Linked DNA regions of Pelodiscus sinensis. The protein of the gene in region 2 purifies or fractionates together with the protein of the main gene of each other region. This does not show direct contact. Links are inferred from orthologs where the notes say so. Each region holds a gene or a part of one and is shown on either strand. Other genes may lie near its edges.

Region 1 (10,187 bases), on a different chromosome or scaffold from region 2:
ATGTCCCGCCCCGACACCAAATGGCGGGACTATAGACCTATAGAGGGTGGGAGACCCCGAAGGGCCAGCGTTTATTCCGATCTAATTCCGCGGCCCGTCGGGGACATCAGTTGGCGGCTCCTGCACGGAGCCGTGAGCACGGGCGTGTTCACCCCCATCCCAGACACCTGCCCCTTCTGCGGCGTGAGGGAGAACCTGGCGCACGCCTACCTCGAATGCGCCAGGGTGCAGCCCCTATTCCGGCTCCTCCAGAACCTCTTATTGAGGTTCTGGCTGCACTTTTCCCCTCACCTTTTTGTCTATGCACACCCAATCCGTGGCCCCACAAAGTCGCGAGACCTCCTCGTCAACCTGCTCCTGGCCTGGCAAAGACCGCTATCTATAACACCAGGAGCAGGATGCTGGACGAGGGGTTCTCTGCGACTGTGGGGCCTATTTCCGTTCCTCCCTGGTTTCACGTATCCGGGCAGAGCTCCTCTGGGCGGCGTCCACTGGCTCCTTCGACAGCTTTGAGGAGCAGTGGGCGCTGTCCGGGGTTCTCTGCTCGCTGTCCCCATCCGGTTCCCTAGTTATAAACCTTTAGCCCGCACGCCTTGCCCTTTTTGTCATTATTTGTCCCCAGGAATTAGTTGAGCACGGGTCCAGTCGTCCCTCCCGCAAGGCTGGGGGAGGGGCTTTTAGAAAGCCCGCCCACTCTCCCGTGTCCTCAAATAGACCCAGTGGGGGGCTGTGACAGCCCCCAGAGAAGGGGGCTCCCGGCACCTCGGTGCTAATGAAAGAGTCGAGTCCTGCACTGAATTAGGGACAGGTTTCAGGGACCCTCACCCGGTGCTGAGATGCAGCTGCCTCTGGGGGGGTGCAGGGGCTGCTTACACAGGGACCCCTCACTCAGCGCTGAGATGCAGCTGCCTCTGGGGGGGTGCAGGGGCTGCTTACACAGGGACCCCTCACTCAGCGCTGAGATGCAGCTGCCTCTGGGGGGGGTGCAGGGGCTGCTTACACAGGGACCCCTCACTCAGCGCTGAGATGCAGCTGCCTCTGGGGGGGTGCAGGGGCTGCTTACACAGGGACCCCTCACCCGGCGCTGAGATGCAGCTGCCTCTGGGGGGGGGGCGCAGGGGCTGCTTACACAGGGACCCCTCACCCGGCGCTGAGATGCAGCTGCCTCTGGGGGGGGCGCAGGGGCTGCTTACACAGGGACCCCTCACCCGGCGCTGAGATGCAGCTGCCTCTGGGGGGGTGCAGGGGCTGCTTACACAGGGACCCCTCACCCGGCGCTGAGATGCAGCTGCCTCTGGGGGGGTGCAGGGGCTGCTTACACAGGGACCCCTCACCCGGCGCTGAGATGCAGCTGCCTCTGGGGGGGTGCAGGGGCTGCTTACACAGGGACCCCTCACCCGGCGCTGAGATGCAGCTGCCTCTGGGGGGGTGCAGGGGCTGCTTACACAGGGACCCCTCACCCGGCACTGAGATGCAGCCTCCTTTGGAATGAAGTGAAGCAGTTATTTAAAAGATGCAGCAACATCACACTGCTGGTTGGGACCGAAAGCGGAAGAGGGGCCATATCCCAGCTCACAATCCCCTCTGCTTTTGTATCTCCCCACACACAGCTCTGCCCGTGCCCCTCACTCCTGACCCGCAGTCCCCTGCCAGCCCAGCCCTGGGTTCCCCCAGACCTGGTGGTGCCCCTCACTCCCAACCTGCAGCCCCTGCTATCCTGACCCTGGGTTCCTTGGCAAACATGAGGGGCAGGGTGTGGGGCTGGTAATGTCGCTCGCTTTTCCCCACTGCCACTGCCCCAGTCTGAACCCAGCGCGGGCCCCCTGCCCTGGCCAATGTGTCTCCCCTTCCCCCTCTCCCATGCCCTCTCCTGCCTGTTTACCTGCCTTTGGCTTCATCTCTCCCCAAAGGCTCCTGTTACCTGCTGGTTCCCCGGTGCCCCGGCCGTTGTCAGGAGAACGCTTGATCCGGCCGCTGGTTTTGGGATTAAGGCACCAGAGCAAGCACAAAAGAGCCAGCGAGCCGAGGGGCCACAATTAACTAATTACCTGCTCGGCCTTTAATCCCCGGCGGGGAGCGCGTAACCCAATCGCACCCCCTTATACAACGAGGCTCCTGAGGGACTGGCTGAGCCAGGCACGACCACCCACCCCCAGCACCTCAGCCCCTCCGCAGGGAGACGAGACCGTGGAGCGCAGCAGGCTCCTTAATCCAGCAGATAAAGGCAGAGCAAGATTGGAGGCTGGGAGCTGAAACGAGAGACAGTCAGGCTAGAAATCAAGTGCCAATTTTTCAAAAGGAGGGGAATTAACCATTGGACTGAACCCAGAATTCCTGGCTTCCAGCCCCCCTGCTCTAACCACTGGGCCTCACTCCCCTCCCAGAGCTGGGAATAGAACTCAGGAGTCCCGGTACCTAGTCCTGCTGCTCTAACCACTGGGACTCACTCCCCTCCCAGAGCTGGGAATAGAACTCAGGAGTCCTGGTACCTAGCCCTGCTGCTCTAACCACTAGACTCCCCTCCCAGTAAAACTCAGGAGTCCTGAACAGTGGGCTGGCAGCAAACAGCCTCTCAATTTTGGGGATGGATTGAATTCAGACGGGCTAAGCGAACTGCAAAGAAATGGGAAGGGGAGGATGGGGGGTGGAAGGAAGTGAAGTGGAAGGGGGCTGAGTGATGGCAAAGTGAGTGAGCATTGCCAGCAGATCTAGGGGAGCGATTATTCCCTTTTATTTGGCACTGGGGAGCCCACATCTGGAGTATTGCGGCCAATTCTGGGGGGCCCCGTACAGAAAGGACGTGGACGCATTGGAGAGAGTCCAGTGAAGGGTGACAAAAATGATTCGGGGGCTGGAGCACTTGACCTATGAGGAGAGGCGGAGGGACTGGGGCTTGTTTAGTCTGCAGAAGAGAAGAGTGAGGGGGGATTTGAGAGCAGCCTTCAACTTCCTGCAGGGAGGTACCAAAGAGGATGGAGAGAGGCTGTTCTCTGTGGTGGCAGATGGCAGAACAGGGAGCCATGGTCTCTAGTTGCAGGGAGGGCATGAGGGGTCGAGGTTGGATATTAGGGGAAACTATTTCTGTAGGAGGGTGGGGAAGAACTGGGGTGGGTTCCCTAGGGAGGGGGTGGAGTCTCCATCCCTAGAGGTGTTTAAGTCTCGGCTTGACAAAGCCCTGGCTGGGATAATTGGGTCGGCGTTGGTCCAGCTTTGGGCAGGTGTCTGGACTCGATGACTCCTGACGTCTCTGCCCACCCTAGGAGTCTGTGATTCTATGAATGGTGACATAAGGCGTAACACGGTAAAACAAAATAAAATCTCCCTTACGGCGCCATTTTTGTCACCTCTCAGCAGCCCATGCCCCAGTGACTCACCCTCACTAAAGACACAGCCTACTGAAAGATCACCACCTCGCACGAGAGATACTCTCTCTGCTGGAGACGCAACATCCTTATGACGAACTATGCAAGAAGATCGGATGGGGCGACGGAAGAACAGCTGACCTCAAGGGAACATACTCTCGCTTACATTCCTCAATCCACCCGACCAATCGGTCCATCTCGGCAGGAGAAGTTTGGCTATACTGATGACCCATGCACTGCTGCCCAGGCCAAAGATCCAGGCTGAAGTTGTGTTACCAGTAGCGCAATCCAGGGTCTCAATCGGTTACACCAAGAACCGGCTGCGTGCCAGCCCAGACAGAACACAAGTGAATCTCTTCCCTCAGTGCAGTTATGAGGCTGGAAGCCAAATTGACATCTGGAATGAGGTACCCCTTGCCCGGTGCGGGGTTCCTGCCTGTTTCGGAGTGATGCCTGCCTGTACTCTCTTTTGAGGTCCACATGTAGGGTTGCCCGGTGACCAGTTTTGTACCGAACAGTCCAGTATTTGAGCTTTCTGTTCGGGAAAAAAATTGAGAAACTATAATTGAGTAACTAGAACTGTCCAGTATTTTCTCAATCAGACGTGATGTAGATTGTGATGTAATGTCAAGTGTGTCCAATATTTTTGTTGAAACCATCTGGCAACCCTACCCACATGGAGAAAGTGAAAGGCAAAGCTAAGTGCCTTGGACTTCAGGGCTCTATTCCCAGCTCTGGTAGCGGAGTGTAGGGTTACCAGATGGGTTTCAAAAAAATACCAGACACGTGATCTCAGAATGGGAGGGGGAGGGCGACCGGCCGGGAGGGGAGTGGGGCTGGCTGGGGGAGATCAGAGAAGGAACCGGCCGGCGGAAAGCAGGGCTTGCTGGGAGGGGGTTGGAGGGAGCAGGGCTGGCTTGGGGAGAACCAGCCAGTGGGGAGTGGGGCTGCCCCGGGCGCACGCAGATCCTGTGGTGCTGCCCATCCCGCGCATGGTCCCGGCGCGGCACACGGGTAAGTCTGGCCCCAGGGATTCCATCCCACCCTGGCTCCACCCTCCCCTCCCCCCACTGTGTAGTTGTGTACTGCCTGGCTGGTCGACGCGCTCACGCAGCGTGACTCACGCAGTGCGAGTGTGTCGACCAGCCAGGCAGTACGCAGCTACGTACTGATACTCATTATAACAATAAAACGTAGGTAATTAGAAAATACCCAACATTTCTATGTCCGGTATTTTCTCAATTTGTTTCCCAGACAGAAAGTTCAAATACCAGACTGTCCGGTTCAAAACCGGACACCTGGCAACCCTAGGGTAGTGGGGTCTAGTGGGTTAGAGCAGGGAGGCTAGAAGCTAGGAATTCTGGGTTCTGTCCATGGTGTCTGGTTTTGAACCAGACAGTCCAGTATTTGAGCTTTCTGTTTGGGAAACAAATTGAGAAAATAGAAATGTCCAGTATTTTCTCAGTAAGACAAATGTAGATTGTGATGTCATGTCAAGTATGTCCAGTATTTTTGTTGAAACCATCTGGCAACCCTATCTGTCCAACGCTTAACACACTAGGAGTGAACCAATTCAACTTGGGGAACCAGCCCAGCTCCAAACTGTCACGCCTGCACTTGGCTATTTGATGGCTGAATACACCTGTCTGGTGTGAGCAAAACTGGCCCATGCAGAGAAACAGGACCCGGCATTGCATGACAGCTTCCTCTACCTCCCGGGATGTCTATACCCCACCACAGCTTTTCCGCGCTTGCTGGAATCGCTCGCCCCGATATCGGCAGAGAGGTTGCAAGCAATATGGAACAATGACGACAGGTTGAAGATACTGGACATCAGCAGACATGGCTTTGGTTTGGATTGGCTAAAGTCTGTTCAAATGTGTTTATATGCCCAATAGGATGTACCATTAAGAAAACGGCCTGGTATAAATTTACTTGAACTTCACGCTAAGTTGGCTCGACCTCGACAGGAGTTGTGCTCCAGACACAGGCAAAGGGGGGCATATTTGGGTGGGCATATGGCTAAGTGGGTGGGCCCTGGCTAGGGTTGCCAGGTGTCCAGTATTGAACCGGACAGTTCGGTAGGCGATTCTTAAAGGGGCCACGCGCTTGCTTTCTTTCTTTCTTTCTTTCTTTCTTTCTTTCTTTCGTTTTTTGTTGTGTTTGTTTATTTAACAACTCTTGGGTCCTTTTTTTTCGGAATTTTTTTCTGAAACCAGCTGAGGCCCACCCAGGCCAAAATGGGCATCGAACTCCTTTGGGCGGGCGCAGGAGGGGGAGGGTCCGGCGGGGGGGGGTGAAAGGTGTTGGGGGAGGGGAGGCTGCTGCCCCTGGGCGGGGGATGGGCAGATTGTGGGTGGGGTGAGGGTCTAGGGCCAAGGGGATCACTGGGAGGGGGCGGTGGGGTCAGAGGTCAAAGGTCATTGAGGGGAGGCTGAAGATGGGGTCAAAGGGCACAGAGGAGAGGCTCATGTGACCAGGGCTCTCGGGTCAAAGGGCACAGAGGAGAGGCAGGGGTCGGGGTCAAAGGGCAGGTGGGAGCTGTCCCATCCCCAGGCCGGCAGCACCGGGCGACGGACCAAGTTACCCAGCGACCCCCGCGCGGCGCCTTCGCGCGGCCAGAACTACAGGTCCCAGGGGGCTTTGCGGCGCGCGCCTGCGCAGTGCGCACCGCCCGGGCCGCGGGAAGATGGCGGCCGGCAGGGGGCCGCGCGCGACGTGAGGGGTCGCCGGGCGGGATAGCGAGCGGGTGAGGGGGGGGCCGCTGGCCCGGGCGGGGGCGTTGAGAGGGGGAGGGGCTGGCGATGCGGGCGGGCTCGGGAGGGGGGGCTGGCGAGGGGGGGGCCGCTGGCGATGCGGGGGGGGCTGGCGAGGGGGGAGGGGCTGGCGATGGGGGGGGCGAGGGGGGAGGGGCTGGCGATGCGGGGGGGCTCGGGAGGGGGGGCTGGCGAGGGGGGGCTCGGGGGGGGCTGGCGAGGGGGGGGCTGGCGAGGGGGGGGGAGGGGCTGGCGATGCGGGGGGGCTCGGGAGGGGGGGCTGGCGAGGGGGGAGGGGCTGGCGATGTGGGGGGGCTCGGGAGGGGGGGCTGGCGAGGGGGGAGGGGCTGGCGATGCGGGGGGCTCGGGAGGGGGGGCTGGCGAGGGGGGAGGGGCTGGCGATGCGGGGGGGCTCGGGAGGGGGGGCTGGCGAGGGGGGAGGGGCTGGCGATGCGGGGGGCTCGGGAGGGGGGAGGGGCTGGCGATGTGGGGGGGGTTGCTTTGGAGGCTGCAGGGGGCTGGCCCGGAGTGGTGGGATCTGGGGGGTGCAGGACGGGGGCTGGGGGCTGCTTGGCAGTGGGGTGAGCTGGGGTTCCCCTGGGGAAACGGGGTGAGGCCAGGGCGGGGCCTGGGGGGTCTGGCTGGAAGGGGCAGGAGGGGGGCGGGGCTGGGGACCACTCCCAGCAGGGTGCTGACCAGTCGCCTCGTTAGCAGCTGGAGGAGCCAGGCCGAGGGCCACCCGGAGCGGCCGGCGCGGCGCTGCCCTTCCACAGACCCGTTGGCAGGGGCCGTATCCGCGCTCGGGCTCCGGCCCCGTCCCTGCACCCGGAGCCATGGCCAGCGGCACAGGGGATGGCGGCAACGCCCGCTTGAGCATCGCCTCCCAGTTCTTCACCCAGGAGGAGGGCAGCGGCACGGACAGCATGACCACCTCGGAGAGGGTGCGTGGGGAGCAGGCAGGGAAGGCTGGCTCTCATCCGGCCATGTGTCACAGGCCCAGGGGTGGGGAAACGAGATACAGGGTCTTTCCCCTCCGCCGGCTCTGCTCCAGCCCCAGGGCGGGGGAGTACCTGGGACCCAAGTTCAGGAAAAGTTAGTCAGGTCACCTGCCTTGTCAGTTACAGTCCACTTTCCATGTGTATAGTGAAGGTCTAAATGTTGGGGCTACATGATGTGCTCCCCAGTGATCTCCCTGCAGTGCACCGCGTCTTTACAGGCTCTGGCTAGCTCTTGTGAGGCCGCATAGTCTGGGGAGAAGGCACCTGTCTGGGTCTTCACAGACCTGGCTTCCCCCCTGCCCCTGCTCTTCTGGGACCCTTTGGGCAGACCCCTTCCTCTCCCTGGGGCTGGCTCCCCTTCTGCCTGTCTTGTCTGTGCAGCTTTTATCCCAAGGCCACTGACGCTGGGTGGGGATGTGATCCGTTTCCTGGTATATTGCACCGGTGCAACCCTGGCGTGGGCTATTCCCCTCCCCCACGCCAACAGGGTATGGCGGCCTCCACGCTGGAGGGAAACTAGACTGGTGTTGGCAGAGCCCTGGATCGCTGAGGGGGTAGATTGGAAGCCCTTTGGGGCAGGGACTATCTCTTGCGATGTCTGTTCAGCGCCTGGTACAATGGGGCCCTGATCTCAGGGGCTCTAGGCACTACCATAGTGCTAGTGGGATGGGTGTCTGTCACCAGGATAGCCATCGGCATTTGCCATGTACCCCTCCCAAGCTACCGCGGGCCGCCCCCCTGTTCTTGCCAACTGCCCCCTGTCCCCACAGGCCGCCCCTCTGTTCCCACCAGAACTCCTGGCCTGGTTGCCATCTCTGCTTGTGCTGTCCTGTTGTGCTGCGTGAGCAGTTATCTCTGAACTGTCGTGAGCTCTCAGCCTCGCTTGGCCCTTGGGTGTGACCAGTTTGATCGTCTTGGGAGGGATTCCTTAGAGCCAAGCTGCCCTCGAGTGCCCTGGTGCTTCCTCACGGGCTCCTCTCTCTGCAGGTGGTGGATCTGTTAAACCAGGCTGCCTTGATCAGCAATGACTCTAAAATCACCATCCTCAAAAAGGTGAGCAAGAACGCTGCCCCCCCTCCCCGCAGGAATGGGATGACACCAGGCTGGGAGTGGAGGACGCTGGGAAAACAGAACCCACCATATGCCCCTGGCTCACTCCACCCTGCACAGAGCCCCTCATGTCACAGTGGGTGGGTCCGTGGGGCAGGGCACTCCATGGGGGGGTGGGCAGATGGGCAATGGCTGATGCTGCAAAACCTCTCCACTGGTTCAAGACTCACCTGCTGTCCCTGCTTTCCCCATAGGTCCAGGAGCTAATTATAAACAAGGACCCCACGCTGCTGGATAACTTCCTGGATGTGAGTAGCCGTGGGCGTGCCAGGGGCGCCTTTCCTGACTCTCCTTGTGCCCATGCCAAGGGCTGATGCCGTATCACTGGCACTGCCACCCCTTCGCTCAGCAGCCCCCTCCCCATGGCAGCTGAACGAGGCGGAGAATTCCTCTGACTTGCCGAGCAAAGGACACGACAGAACATCAGCTCCCTGCTCAGTGGGCCCACAGCTTGGGGGCTGAGGTGTGGGGGGCTGCCCAAAGCTGGAGCCCCAGATGCCCGTCAAGCCTGGGCAGTGTCCGACGTAGACCCGAGGAGTGTGAATATTCTCACCCGGGCCTAACCTAAAACTTTCCGCAGCCTCCGCCCTGCCTGCGTTTGGGGGCGGCCGAGCTGTGCCTCGTGTTCCCAGCCCCGCTCTGCCCTGCCCCCTCCTCTTGGCCAGCTCTGCTGCCTGCTGGGCAGCTGGGGCCAGCCCTGACCGCCTGCCTCTCCGGCTGCAGGAGATCATCGCCTTCCAGGCGGACAAATCCATCGAGGTGCGCAAGTTTGTCATCGGCTTCATCGAGGAGGCCTGGTAAGGACGGCTTGGCTGCTGCACCCTGGAGCCCCTGGCTGTAACCTCCCTTCCCACCGAGTAGATGGGAGCCTCGTCCAGCCAGCTGCCTCACTCCCCACAGGCTGCAGCAGCTGGGAGCGCTCCCACCCCACTCCCTGCGCTCGCTTATCTCCAGCTAAGGTCCGTGCTGTGAGCAGGCCGGGAGCGGGGCCGGTAGGTTACAGCTGGGCTGTGAAGAGCCAGGACTCCTGGTTCTGTTCCCAGCAGGGGGAGGGGAGTCCAGTGGTTAGGAGCCAGGACTCCTGGGTTCTGTGCCTTGATCTGCCTTTGACTCCCAGTGTGACCATGGCAAGTCGTTCCCCCCCACCCTGCCTCAGTTTCCCTGCCAGTACAAGAGGTAAGGGGTCCATGGAAGCCAGCTGCGCTGTTCCTGGGCTGCTCGCCTCGCCTCGCCTCGCGCTCTCCTCCCTGAGTTTGTCCTCTCCCCCGCCCCAGCAAACGGGACATTGAGCTCCTGCTGAAGCTCATCGCCAACTTGAACATGCTGCTGAAGGACGAGAACGTCAACGTGGTGAAAAAGGCCATCCTCGCCATGACCCAGCTCTACAAGGTGGCTCTGCAGGTGAGCACTCGTCCGCCAGCGCCAGCCGGTGCGGCCCCAGCCTCTCTCAGCAGGGGGCGCTGCAGGAGGAGCTCCCAGCTATTCCAGCCTCTCCCAGCAGGGGGCGCTGCAGGAGGAGCTCCCAGCTATTCCAGCCTCTCCCAGCAGGGGGTGCTGTTGTGGGGGAGGGAGAGAACTCCCAGGTATTCTAGCCTTAGCCAGCATCCCACAGCGCCCCCTGCTGGGAATCTCAGGAGCTATGGGGAGCTCCCCACTGGCCTCTTGCAGCAGGGAGAACTTGCTGTGGGGGAAAATGCTGGTTACTCCAGCCCTGGCCTCTCCCAGCAGGAGGCGCTGCAGGATTGGCTCTGGCAAGAGCTGCTCTCTCTGGAGAGGCTTCAGGGGGGAGCAGGGTGGGGGCACTAGCCGTGGGGGGAGCTCCTGGCTACTCCAGCCGTGGCTGCTCCCACAGCGGAGTGGTCCACACAGGGCAGCCCGCCTTGGTTCTCACCTTTCCCTTCTGGCTCCCGGCAGTGGATGGTGAAGTCCAGAGTCATCAACGACCTGCAGGAGTCCTGCTG
Region 2 (10,662 bases):
ATTTGGGTTTGAGGTAGATCCTGGACTGACAAATTCAAAAAGTGATCTTGTGCTTAAAAAGGTTAGAGACCTCTGGTGTAGACAAAGCCTTGCTTGGTGTATTTGATACACCCTTTATTTGTCTATATGTGGGTTTATCACAGCAAAAAAGGAGGGAAAAGATGGGGGAAAAAGGCTGGTTGGAAAAGCCAGATATTGTCATCAGTACAGTATCCAACACTTTTTTAAAAAAGTTAACACACTTGCAAAATGTTTAAAGCTTAGTTGTATTCAATAAGGTAAGGGGGAAAGAGCTATTCATACAGAATCAAAAAAGGAACTGAATAGGGAGAAGAAGAAAATAGCTTGTAACCATTTGCCAAGATGTACTACTGGAATTTGTAAGAGAAGCTAAATCCATGTCCTCAATGAAATCAAGATCATTTTTGACCATTTTTGAGAGAATCAATGTTAGACCCAAGGATTTCAAGTCACTTCTCTTACCTACGCACTCATCAGTATAAACCAGCATGTAAGGCATTTCTATATTAGCTGCTTTAACATTAAGGATTTTTCATCTCAGTCCCATTAACGGAATCAAGCCATAAGAGGAAGGCTGCTGAGATCCATTTAAAGGTTTTGTTTCAAACCAGAGTCACTCTGTAACCTTTGAAGTCCTAATAAAAGAAGCCAGGATATAACTATACTGACATACCACACAGTTCTCAGAGCAACAAGCTACTGAGCTGCCCAAACGATGGCCAGAACTACCCAACATGATTTTTTCCAGGGCTTTGCCTAGCGCCAGCACCCTAACACATGAGACACTGCAATTTCATTCCTTGGGAAAGGAGTTGAAAACACAAAGCTCAGGAAAATCCACATCATTGCAGAAACCCACCATAGCTAAGGGGGCACTGCAGAACTGAATGGTTTATTAAGGAGTCCCCCTCAATGCCTTCCTGATGTAAAGATGTTATCTTCAGCAAGCAGCTTTGACAAAGGAAGGAAGGAAAGTGGCATGTACAGAGACCCCTCTGTTTAAGCAAAAACAAAACAAAAACAGCTGCCCAGACAAAGCTTAATAGTAGGCTAACAAATTTACAGTAAGACCAATGCCTGACAAACTACATCATAGAACAACATTGGCATCAAAAGCCAGATGTAAACTGACCAAAGGACAGACGTGTGACTACAGGGGGCCAACTGGGAATGTTCCCACAAGTTGCTTAGATAGCCCTGTGGCTTGCCAGGCCATTGTTTTTCATGTGTTTCAAAGCACAAATTCATCTGCAGGAGAGAGGCTATACACTAGCCAAAACCTACTGCTTTGTTTGGAAGGGGGGGGATTGTGTCTCAAGTCCGATTTCTGAAGCCTCACATGGGAAGTGAGGCTTTTACATACAGCACAAACATTAGCCGTGACATACTGCACTTGGACGACAGACTAGCTTAATTTTGAGAAGCAGTGCACAGTATTAAAATGGAGGGTTAGTGTCAGGCTTTTCTAGAAGAATGCAAGCTCACTACAGATGCATACAGCAAGGGAAGGGAGGAATACAAGTTCCAATTTAATTTGTTGAATAGTGTGTCACAGTCCTCTGGATAGGAAAGACTTGTGGGGGACAAACAAATGCCATTTTCTGTCTTTAATCCTGCTGTATAAACAAGATGCAGTTTGCTCCTAGGCAAGAGCCATTTTATTACTATCCATGCATTTCTCTCCCTCGTGTACTTGCCTCCTCTGAGTTTTCATGAGGTACCAAATATGACTCAGAAAAACCACAAAGATCCCACCCACCGCTACACAACTCGAAATAGGGCAAGACCCAATAACTGCAGAGGACATCCCACTGCTCTGAGCAAGTATTAGGATTGAATTAGAGTCCTGGGTCTTATTTGTTTTCTCAGATTCCCTATGGCCTAAGGCACACCCATAGCCCTGTGTAAATAAATCCAGCAGGCTTCTTTGAGAACAGCACAGAAGGTGGGGAAACTGAAATGTCACAAAGCTTCAGGGAATGCCAAATCCTGGTTCATTTGCAGTCATATTTCTGTCCATGCCCAAAGACCATGCTGTTGCACATCTTCGAAATGGCCACCACACAGGAGTTTCGAGGTACTACTGGTACATTACGAACACCTAAGAAATACATAGGGCAGCACTGTTCCTCCATTAGCAGATTACCAACTGAAGCCCTATATGCACATTTTTTGAAGCCTGCAAATTAGTTAGTACTGACAGACCTTGTGAGATGATGAACTCATGCTCTGATAACTAGATTGGTAAGAGCCACCTTAGTTTTCATTCTTTATTGATTGCTTTATACACACACACACACACACATGAACATACACACAGAAATGTGAGTGTCAAACCAGCTTCACATTAAAAACAGAAAATGCTAATTAGAGACGAACCTTTTAATGGAGTTTCCATCTGCAAGCAGACTCATGGTCCCCAGGGGGAGGCTGAGAAATGGCTTATAGCATGTCTGGAGTGAGCGGAACATAACTACCCAGCCCATCTAGGATTTCCTTCACAGCTTACTGTGGGGACAGTCTGCAGATGGAGAGCTCACCCTGGAGGAATTATGCACCTCTGCCTCCCCACACTCCTTCAGCCCAGAGCCAGTCTCCTCCACATTCTTAATCCCACCATCACCCTCTTATCCTGGGAAATGGTGGCACACGCTCTCAGGGAAAGAGGATACCCACCCCAGATCTCCCTGTGCTTGGACACACCCCACCCCCTGGGGTGGAGGTAAGGAACAGTCCCACATACATCGGTGCCCCCTGGACACATGCAACACCCAGCTGCACCTCCCCCATTCCGCTCCTCCAGGTCCCTCACCCAGGGACTGCATGGGCCATGCCCCAGGAGGGCTCCCTCTGTTCCCACCGGCCCTGCCCCAGACACCCCCCCACCTCCCACCGCACCCTACCAAGGAGAGGAGTCGCTGAAGCCTGCGGCCCCCAGAGCAGCCCCAGGCCCCCCGCACCAGGGGGTCCCCGGCAGAGCCCTGGGCCCCCCCAACCCTGCTGGGCCTCAGACTCTCCCCCCTCCCGCTGCAGGGTCCCCCATGAGCCCACCCCATGGGACGCCCCACAGGAAGATCCCCCCCTGTCCCGAGAGGGGCCCCCCCCCCCACAGGCCCGGCCCCCCCCCGTCCCGAGAGGGGCCCCCCCCCCACAGGCCCGGCCCCACCTCCGTCCCGAGAGGGGGCCCCCACAGGCCCGGCCCCCCCCCACAGGCCCGGCCCCCCCTCCGTCCCGAGAGAGGGCCCCCACAGGCCCGGCCCCCCCTCCGTCCCGAGAGAGAGCCCCCACAGGCCCGCCCCCCCCCCACAGGCCCGGCCCCCCCTCCGTCCCGAGAGAGGGCCCCCACAGGCCCGGCCCCCCCCCCACAGGCCCGGCCCCCCCTCCGTCCCGAGAGAGGGCCCCCACAGGCCCGGCCCCCCCCCCACAGGCCCGGCCCCCCCTCCGTCCCGAGAGAGGGCCCCCACAGGCCCGGCCCCCCCCCCACAGGCCCGGCCCCCCCCCCGTCCCGAGAGAGGGCCCCCACAGGCCCGGCCCCCCCCCCCACAGGCCCGGCCCCCCCCCCGTCCCGAGAGGCCCCCCCCGTCCCGAGAGGGCCCCCCCCCACAGGCCCGGCCCCCCCCCGTCCCGAGAGGCCCCCCCCGTCCCGAGAGGGCCCCCCCCCACAGGCCCGGCCCCCCCCCGTCCCGAGAGGGCCCCCCCCACAGGCCCGGCCCCCCCCCCGTCCCGAGAGGGCCCCCCCACAGGCCCGGCCCCCCCCCGCCCCGAGAGGGCCCCCCCCACAGGCCCGGCCCCCCCCCCCGCCCCGAGAGGGCCCCCCCCACAGGCCCGGCCCCCCCCCCGCCCCGAGAGGGCCCCCCCCACAGGCCCGGCCCCCCCCCCGCCCCGAGAGGGCCCCCCCACAGGCCCGGCCCCCCCCCCCGCCCCGAGAGGGCCCCCCCACAGGCCCGGCCCCCCCCCCCGCCCCGAGAGGGCCCCCCCCACAGGCCCGGCCCCCCCCCCCGCCCCGAGAGGGCCCCCCCCACAGGCCCGGCCCCCCCCCCCGCCCCGAGAGGGCCCCCCCCACAGGCCCGGCCCCCCCCCCCGCCCCGAGAGGGCCCAGCCCGCTGCAGCGCCCCGGGTCCCGGCCCTACCTGCGGCGGAGGCGCCCGTCACGGCGCCCAGCAGCGCGCCCAGCAGCACCAGCGCCCCGGCCCCGCGCGCCCCCATGGTCGCCGCTCGCTGCCGCTAACCCGCCAAGAGCCGGCGCGCGCCGCCGCCGAGCCAAGTCACCTCGCGCCCGGCCCCGCCCCGCCCTTGCGCGCCCCACGGCGGCCAATCAGAGCGCCGCGGACTGGGCGGGGCCCACAAAGCGCCCCGCCCCTCCTGGCGACCGGAGCTCGCCGGGCCAGATCGAGGCAGCGCCCCGCCCACTGACCTTCGACGGCGGGGAAGGACGGAATCCGGGAGGGGACATGTGACCCGCAGGGTCGTGTCCTCGGGGCGCAGGTCGGGGCCGAGCTGAGCGAGGAAAGTCACGTGCGCGTGTGCGCACGAGAGAGGGGGACTATGCAAATGAGGAGGCAGGGCGTGGGGGGAGGGTATAGGAGGGGTACCAAGGGGGGAAGGGGAGAGGGAGAGGGTTGAGGCTGGTGGGGGGAAGGGCAGTGGGGGGAGGGCTACCAAGGGGGGGCAGGAAGGGAGGAGTACCAAGGGGGGGAAGGGTGGGGGGGAAGGGTATAGGAGGGAGGGGGTTGAGGCAGGTGGGGGGAAGGGCAGTGGGGGGAGGGCTACCAAGGGGGGGCAGGAAGGGAGGAGTACCAAGGGGGGGAAGGGTGGGGGGGGAAGGGTATAGGAGGGAGGGGGTTGAGGCAGGTGGGGGGAAGGGCAGAGGGAACAAGGATTTTGGGGGGGGCAGGGAAAGAGCAGACACCCATGTCTGGGCCTGTCTGCCCCTGCCCCAAATCACTTAGAGGCAGCTCAAGTCACAGCAAGGCCCCTAACGAGGCTGACTCAGGACTCCACGCAGCACGGCCTCCATCCCCTGCTGCGGATGAGCCAGACAGAACATGTGGGGGGAGAGCAGAGACTGGCCTTCCTGGTCAGTTTCTGCTGTAGGACACCCAGCCCCTCTGGGACTAGTGGAGCCATTCCTCCGAACCCCTGGGAGAAGTTCCCTGCCAAAGGGGCAGCTCTGTGCTTCCCCTTTCAGGCAGCAGCTAGCAAGGGGGCGTGAAGCTGAGGGCAGGGGTGGCGTGGAAATACATTTGGTGCCTTGGCAATGGGGAGCCTATAGCTTGACCTCCTCAGGCACTCAGTGTAGCAGATCACTGGTTCCCTTCGCACTGGCAGTCTCATGCCACTTTGCCGACATTGAATGAAGAAGGCATCCCAAATCTTCTGTGATGCTTTTGAGGCACAATGTCCCTGTGTTATAGAAAGGGGAACTGAGGCACAGAGTAGTCAGTACATTGCCTGAGGTCGCACAGCAAATCATCAGCAGAGCTGGGTGCAGATTAAGAAAACTGCAGGAGTCCTGCTGTCCCTCCTCCAGCTCACTATACACAATACTTCCTACACTTCACTGCTGCAATAAACAGTGCTGGCCTTACCATGAGGCAACACCCGAAGCAGCAGCCTCAGGTGTCAGACTGGGGGTGGGGAGGGACACCACTAGTTCACACTTTTTGAACAAGGCATTTTAAGTTGTTAGTTCTCCTTTATTGGGGTAGGTAGCAGAGCAGTTCCATGAGAGGAGTAGAACAGGAAGGAGGCAGAATTGAGACCTTTCAAAGTTTTGGCCCAAGCAAGGGGGCCTGGGGGCGTCATTTGAGCTCCCTGCCTCAGGTGCCAAAATGTTGTGGGCTGGCCCTGGCAATAAAGTACACAGTACAGCCCTTAGCTCCAGACTTGCTTATTGGATGGATTCTTGGGCAGTGATCCATTCATCAGGCATATACAGCAAGGGGGCTTAAAATCCAGGAGCTGTTCTCAACTCTGATCATTTCATTTTTGTACCTTCCCTTGTCTGTTTTAATAATAGGAATGAAGAATCCCTTCAAGAGAGGCTCTGCTTTGGTTTGGAAACACTCTACCCCCAGGGTCTGAAAGTGACACCAGCAATACATGAAGGAGCAAGATTGCCATCTTTCTCCAGGAACGCCCTGACAAAGGCACTCCTGCATTGCTTTTCCATCTGGGATGTTAGAGAGTGTTTATTTTAGTAATCACACACCTCAGAAAGGCAGTAAACTTGAGGAAAGCAAAAGCACCATCAGCTTTCTGTGTAACAAGGCCTGTTGAAGCCGGGTACTCGCCCTTTGTTCCAACCCAGAAAACCAGCTTTGAATTAAAAGACACATAGAAGGAATAAAGATGCTAATTATCTTACCCATTACAAAGATAGCTTCCCCAATTATCACCTCTAATACCATTAGCTCACAGACATTTACCTCCCTCCCTTCCCTCCCCCCTCCATCCTCCTTCTGTTCTGAAATGTGATTTGTCCTTTTCATAGGTGTTCATTTTTTTAATTGTCTCCTTTGGTATATATGGCTGTGACTATTTTCTTCCACTATTTGATCTGAGGAAGTGGGTCTGGCCCACGAAAGCTCATCACCTATTAAACCATCTTGTTAGTCTGTAAAGTGCTACACAGTCCTGTGTTTTGTGTGAGAAGGATTTGTGTGTGGTTTCAAGATTTCCAGCCCCACTACACCTGCCATTTTTAAAGCCAGACTATCAGCCTCCACCCCAGCGTTTATTCTGTCAATTGCTGCCAGCCAGGGGCGGCCTGTGGATGTAAGCAACCTCAGCAGTTGCATTTTACGCGGCGCCCAATGATGACATCACGCCATTGAGGGCTATGGAAGCGGGGGCGCCAATCGCGCATTCCGCCCAGGGCGCCAGATGCCGGCAGCTCTCCTCGAGCCGCTCCTGCTGCCAGCGTGCATGGGGCTGAGCAAGTCAGGGCAGCTAAGCAGATGGATAACACAGCGAGTGGCCCAGGGATGGAGTCTGTCAGAGTGAGACTAACCTCATCTTCTCCAGTAGGCTCAGTGCCAAAAATTCCAACTGTCTTTAAGTTGAATGACAAAGCATTTCAGATGCTCCAGAGCAGCAGCAGCAATTGTTCCTCTTGCTGATCAGCCACCAGCTCCTGGGAGAAGACCTATTCTTTCCCTCCCCACACCCTCCGTGCACCATGTATTTACTGAGGGATCCCTCTATGGCCTTGGTTTGTTCTGTTTTACTGCCTACAGAAGTCTGGAACGCACTGCCACTTTAATTGCTGGTTGCTCGAGGTGGAAGACCACGTGATCCATAGCTAGGATGTTGCTTGTGGCAGGCCAGGATGGGTTCCTAGTGGGGGTTGCCTCAGCAGTGCTTAGCTGTTACTGTAAAAATCCTATGGGAAGCCACATGGATTCTGTGGGCGGTTGAGAAGGAGATCAGACAGATACAACCTCCACTGTGACAGTGTCTGCACCAGCCACGGCTGGGTGGGGAGAGGTTGCTGTAATAGCCTTAAAAACAACCCCCGCCCCCTCCCCAGGTCAAAACCCAAGTAAAGCTAGGTATAGAGGCTGGTGCTCCATGTCACTGGACTTTGGCCGGGTCTGTGTTTGCAGACACCACACGCTTCCTAGGCCTCCTTACAGATTCGCATTCCAGCCAAATTCCAGCTCGTGCCCATTACAATGTTTCTGCCTCCTCCTGTTTTTTTCCATTCATCACTGCCAGCAACACTGTCCTCCCCATACTGATGCTGAATATTAATTGGATCAAGATCAGCCAAAAAGGCGGAACAAGAGTTCTGGAGCCAGCACCTTGGCTCCTAACAGCTGCTCTGGCGCTTTGCTTTTTATCCTCTGCTAGCTGGCCTGCTCTGTAAGTAGCTCTGGGCAGTCCCTCTTGTCTTTGATCCCAGAAGTGGCTGCGTTTTGGTGGGGGAAGGGAGCAAGGGAGCATGCCGGAGGTGCACTTCACCCGTATATCCCCACCCTCATTTTAATGGCTAAATGGGGTGCCCCCACATGTCCCGGCCCCTTGGGCGGTCCTCCTTCCACCCCTTCCCCCCTGCAGGCACTGGTCGCCCCTGGCAGGGAGAGAGGAGATTCTTGTATAGCAAAGTCTGGAACCTGCAGGGTTTGTGGTCGTTGGGAGGGGCACATGCGGGATCAGGACCAGTCATGCCATGTTAAAGGCAAAGCTGTTAGAATACAAGGTCTGGTTTGCAGCAGGAAAAACCTCCCATTAACGGCTAATTCCCCCCCCCCCCCACTATCCTGCCTCTCCCCAAAAGTCTCATGCCTGGGGATCTGGTATCCCAGGTCAACAACAAGTCCGACTCCTTTGCATGTCATCTCCAGCGGTGTCTCCTACAGACACGTGTTAAACTTTCGTTTTTATGGCTGGCTCCTAGGTCAGCGTGTGCCTCGTCCCCTCAAGAAGAGGCTTTAAGAGATGGGCGCGGCCCTGAACGCGTTTCTCAGCCATGCTCCGTGCCCGGTCTTTTCCCCTGGGGCACCCCACTGGCATCAGAAGATCGCCTGGAAGCCACACTAGATCGTGTCCTTAGAGAATCCAGCCCCGACTCTTCCTCAGGCACTTGGGCACCGCCTGACCGCACACGGCTAACCAGCTGGGCATCGGGGAGCAGAGCCAGCCCAGCTTGAGAACTCTGCCCCAGGGAGTGTGGGCTATAAAAAGCAACATGCACATTCGAGTTCCTTGGCAGGCGAGGGACGCGAGAAGCAAGGGCAGCGCGACACTGGCACTTGATCCAGTCGCCGCTGCTTGACAGGCAGCCCTGGGCGGTGAATGCGCGTGGGAATGCCGGTAAAGCGAGCCCCCCCTTGTAGGGGGTGGAAGTATTTGATCAGCACCAGCATTCCCCAGGGACGTAACGTCCCAGTTAATCAGTTAACCGGGCAAGTGTTGGGTTAACGGCCGTACGGGGCCAGCCCAAAGGTCCATCCAGCCCAGTAGCTGGAATGCTCTTAGCTAACCTGCTGGGCCTCGGGGAGCAGCGCTCTCCTCATGTTTAATTGGTTAACCAGCTAAGCAGGATCTGGGGAGGGCTGCTCCAGGCTCCCAGCCGCCACCAGAGCAGCCCTTGTCGGCAGCAGGCCCAGCTCCTAGCCCCCACCAGGTATCGGTTAACCGGAACCCGTAAGAATCCCCTGCGTAGGGTGATCTTACTGGTGACCTGGTTACCCTTTCTCAGCCCAGGTGTTCCCACATGGTGACCTTCATTTTAACATGACAGTGTCGAGACGGCCTTGTTGCTACACATGAGAACATAAGAACGGCCGTACTGGGTCAGACCAAAGGTCCATCTAGCCCAGTAGCCTGTCTGCCAACAGTGGCCAGCACCAGGTGCCCCAGAGAGGGTGGACCGAAGACAATGATCAAGCGATTTGTCTCCTGCCATCCCTCTCCAGCCTCTGACAAACAGAGGCCAGGGACACCATTTTATCCCCTGGCTAATAGCCTTTTATGGACCTAACCTCCATAAAGCTTTTTATCTAGCTTCTCTTTAAACTCTATTATAGTTCCAGCCTTCACAGCCTCCCCCAGCAAGGAGTTCCACAGGTTGACTATGCGCTGTGTAAAGAAGAACTCTCTTTTATTAGTTTTAAACCTGCTACACGCTGCCTTAGGTAGCCATGCCCTCAGATAAGCTAATTATACCAGTGTGATGATGGGCTCATTGAAGAGCTAGGGGCTTTCAGTGCAGTGAAGGATGCTTGTCTTTCAGATCATTCTCATTCCTCCACTTCCTCAGCGACCCTTTCCTTGGTCCTCAGAGCTGCTCTGGTCTTGGCATTATCTGTCTGCCCAGGAGAGAATATTTAAACCGGGGAGGGGGGAGGGAGCACTCTGGTGGGGAGAGTAGAGGCAGCGAAGAGAACAATGCACTGGCCACATAACAAAGTAAAAGGCAGGAGCAAGTTGACTTCAAAGTCTGAAGCCATCCCTTGGGTTTAGGTCAATTGATCTCATTCCCACCACCCTGGGAAGTTCACGTTGTTTCTGCAGCCAGAGGGCAGGATCAGGACGGATGTAGCCCCCCTGTCAGCGTGGTTATCCCACCAAGCACACAGCCAGGTGCATTATCTGAGGAGAGGCGTTAACTTTCCGCTGAAGCAGACCCCGGCGGGGGCAGGATATGGGAAGCATCGGTCTGCTCCCTGGTTGTATTTCCTGAGACTCAACTCCTGGGTTTGACAGGAACATGCTACAGCAGTTGGCCCTTGAGTTCAACTGTTGAGAGTCAAGCCACGATAAAATCATGAGATCTTAAAAAACAATCGAAGCCGGGGTCTTTTCCTTTGCCTTCCAGTGTTGGGGTGTCCTCACGGTTATGTTTTAGGCCTTTCTCTCTTACCACGAGCCTTAGAAACTGGAACTGGTTTTAAACAAACCAAAAATTGCATCCTATGTGAAATTCTGAGATTTTCCAATTTCATTTCATCCTGCCTTGGGTCTAAGTAGAAGTGCTGAATGTGTCATGACACAGAGCATTCCAGAACATGTAGCCGAGGTCAAAACATGTGTCTGACTTCCATATTTAAATTAGAAGACTAAATGAAACATTTCAGCCTCATCAGAAGAATTGCTTTTATAATTTCCTTTTGAGACTTTCAGAACCAAAAAAAA

What was found. Proteins that work in one complex are often made in the same cells at the same time.
Region 1: the proteins of BSG (region 2) and SYMPK purify together in Homo sapiens (co-immunoprecipitation; 3 studies listed by BioGRID and IntAct, counting the BioPlex papers as one, with this or other methods). This does not show direct contact. The link is inferred for Pelodiscus sinensis from reciprocal best matches to the Homo sapiens genes BSG and SYMPK.

The regions. Positions count from the first base shown.
Region 1 is NW_027465849.1:6,379,379-6,389,565, reverse strand, and holds the start of SYMPK (symplekin), read left to right. Parts: upstream 1-5,964; 5' UTR 5,965-6,111; intron 6,112-6,829; exon of another isoform or gene 6,830-6,832; 5' UTR 6,833-6,951; coding exon 6,952-7,059; intron 7,060-8,103; coding exon 8,104-8,169; intron 8,170-8,420; coding exon 8,421-8,474; intron 8,475-8,949; coding exon 8,950-9,023; intron 9,024-9,500; coding exon 9,501-9,627; intron 9,628-10,140; coding exon 10,141-10,187. UniProt on the Homo sapiens protein: Scaffold protein that functions as a component of a multimolecular complex involved in histone mRNA 3'-end processing. Specific component of the tight junction (TJ) plaque, but might not be an exclusively junctional component. May have a house-keeping rule.
Region 2 is NC_134729.1:15,825,761-15,836,422, reverse strand, and holds the start of BSG (basigin), read right to left. Parts: upstream 4,313-10,662; 5' UTR 4,228-4,312; coding exon 4,152-4,227; intron 3,035-4,151; exon of another isoform or gene 2,420-3,034; coding exon of another isoform or gene 2,401-2,419; intron 1-2,400. Other genes in the region: basigin-like, read right to left, coding at 2,401-2,419.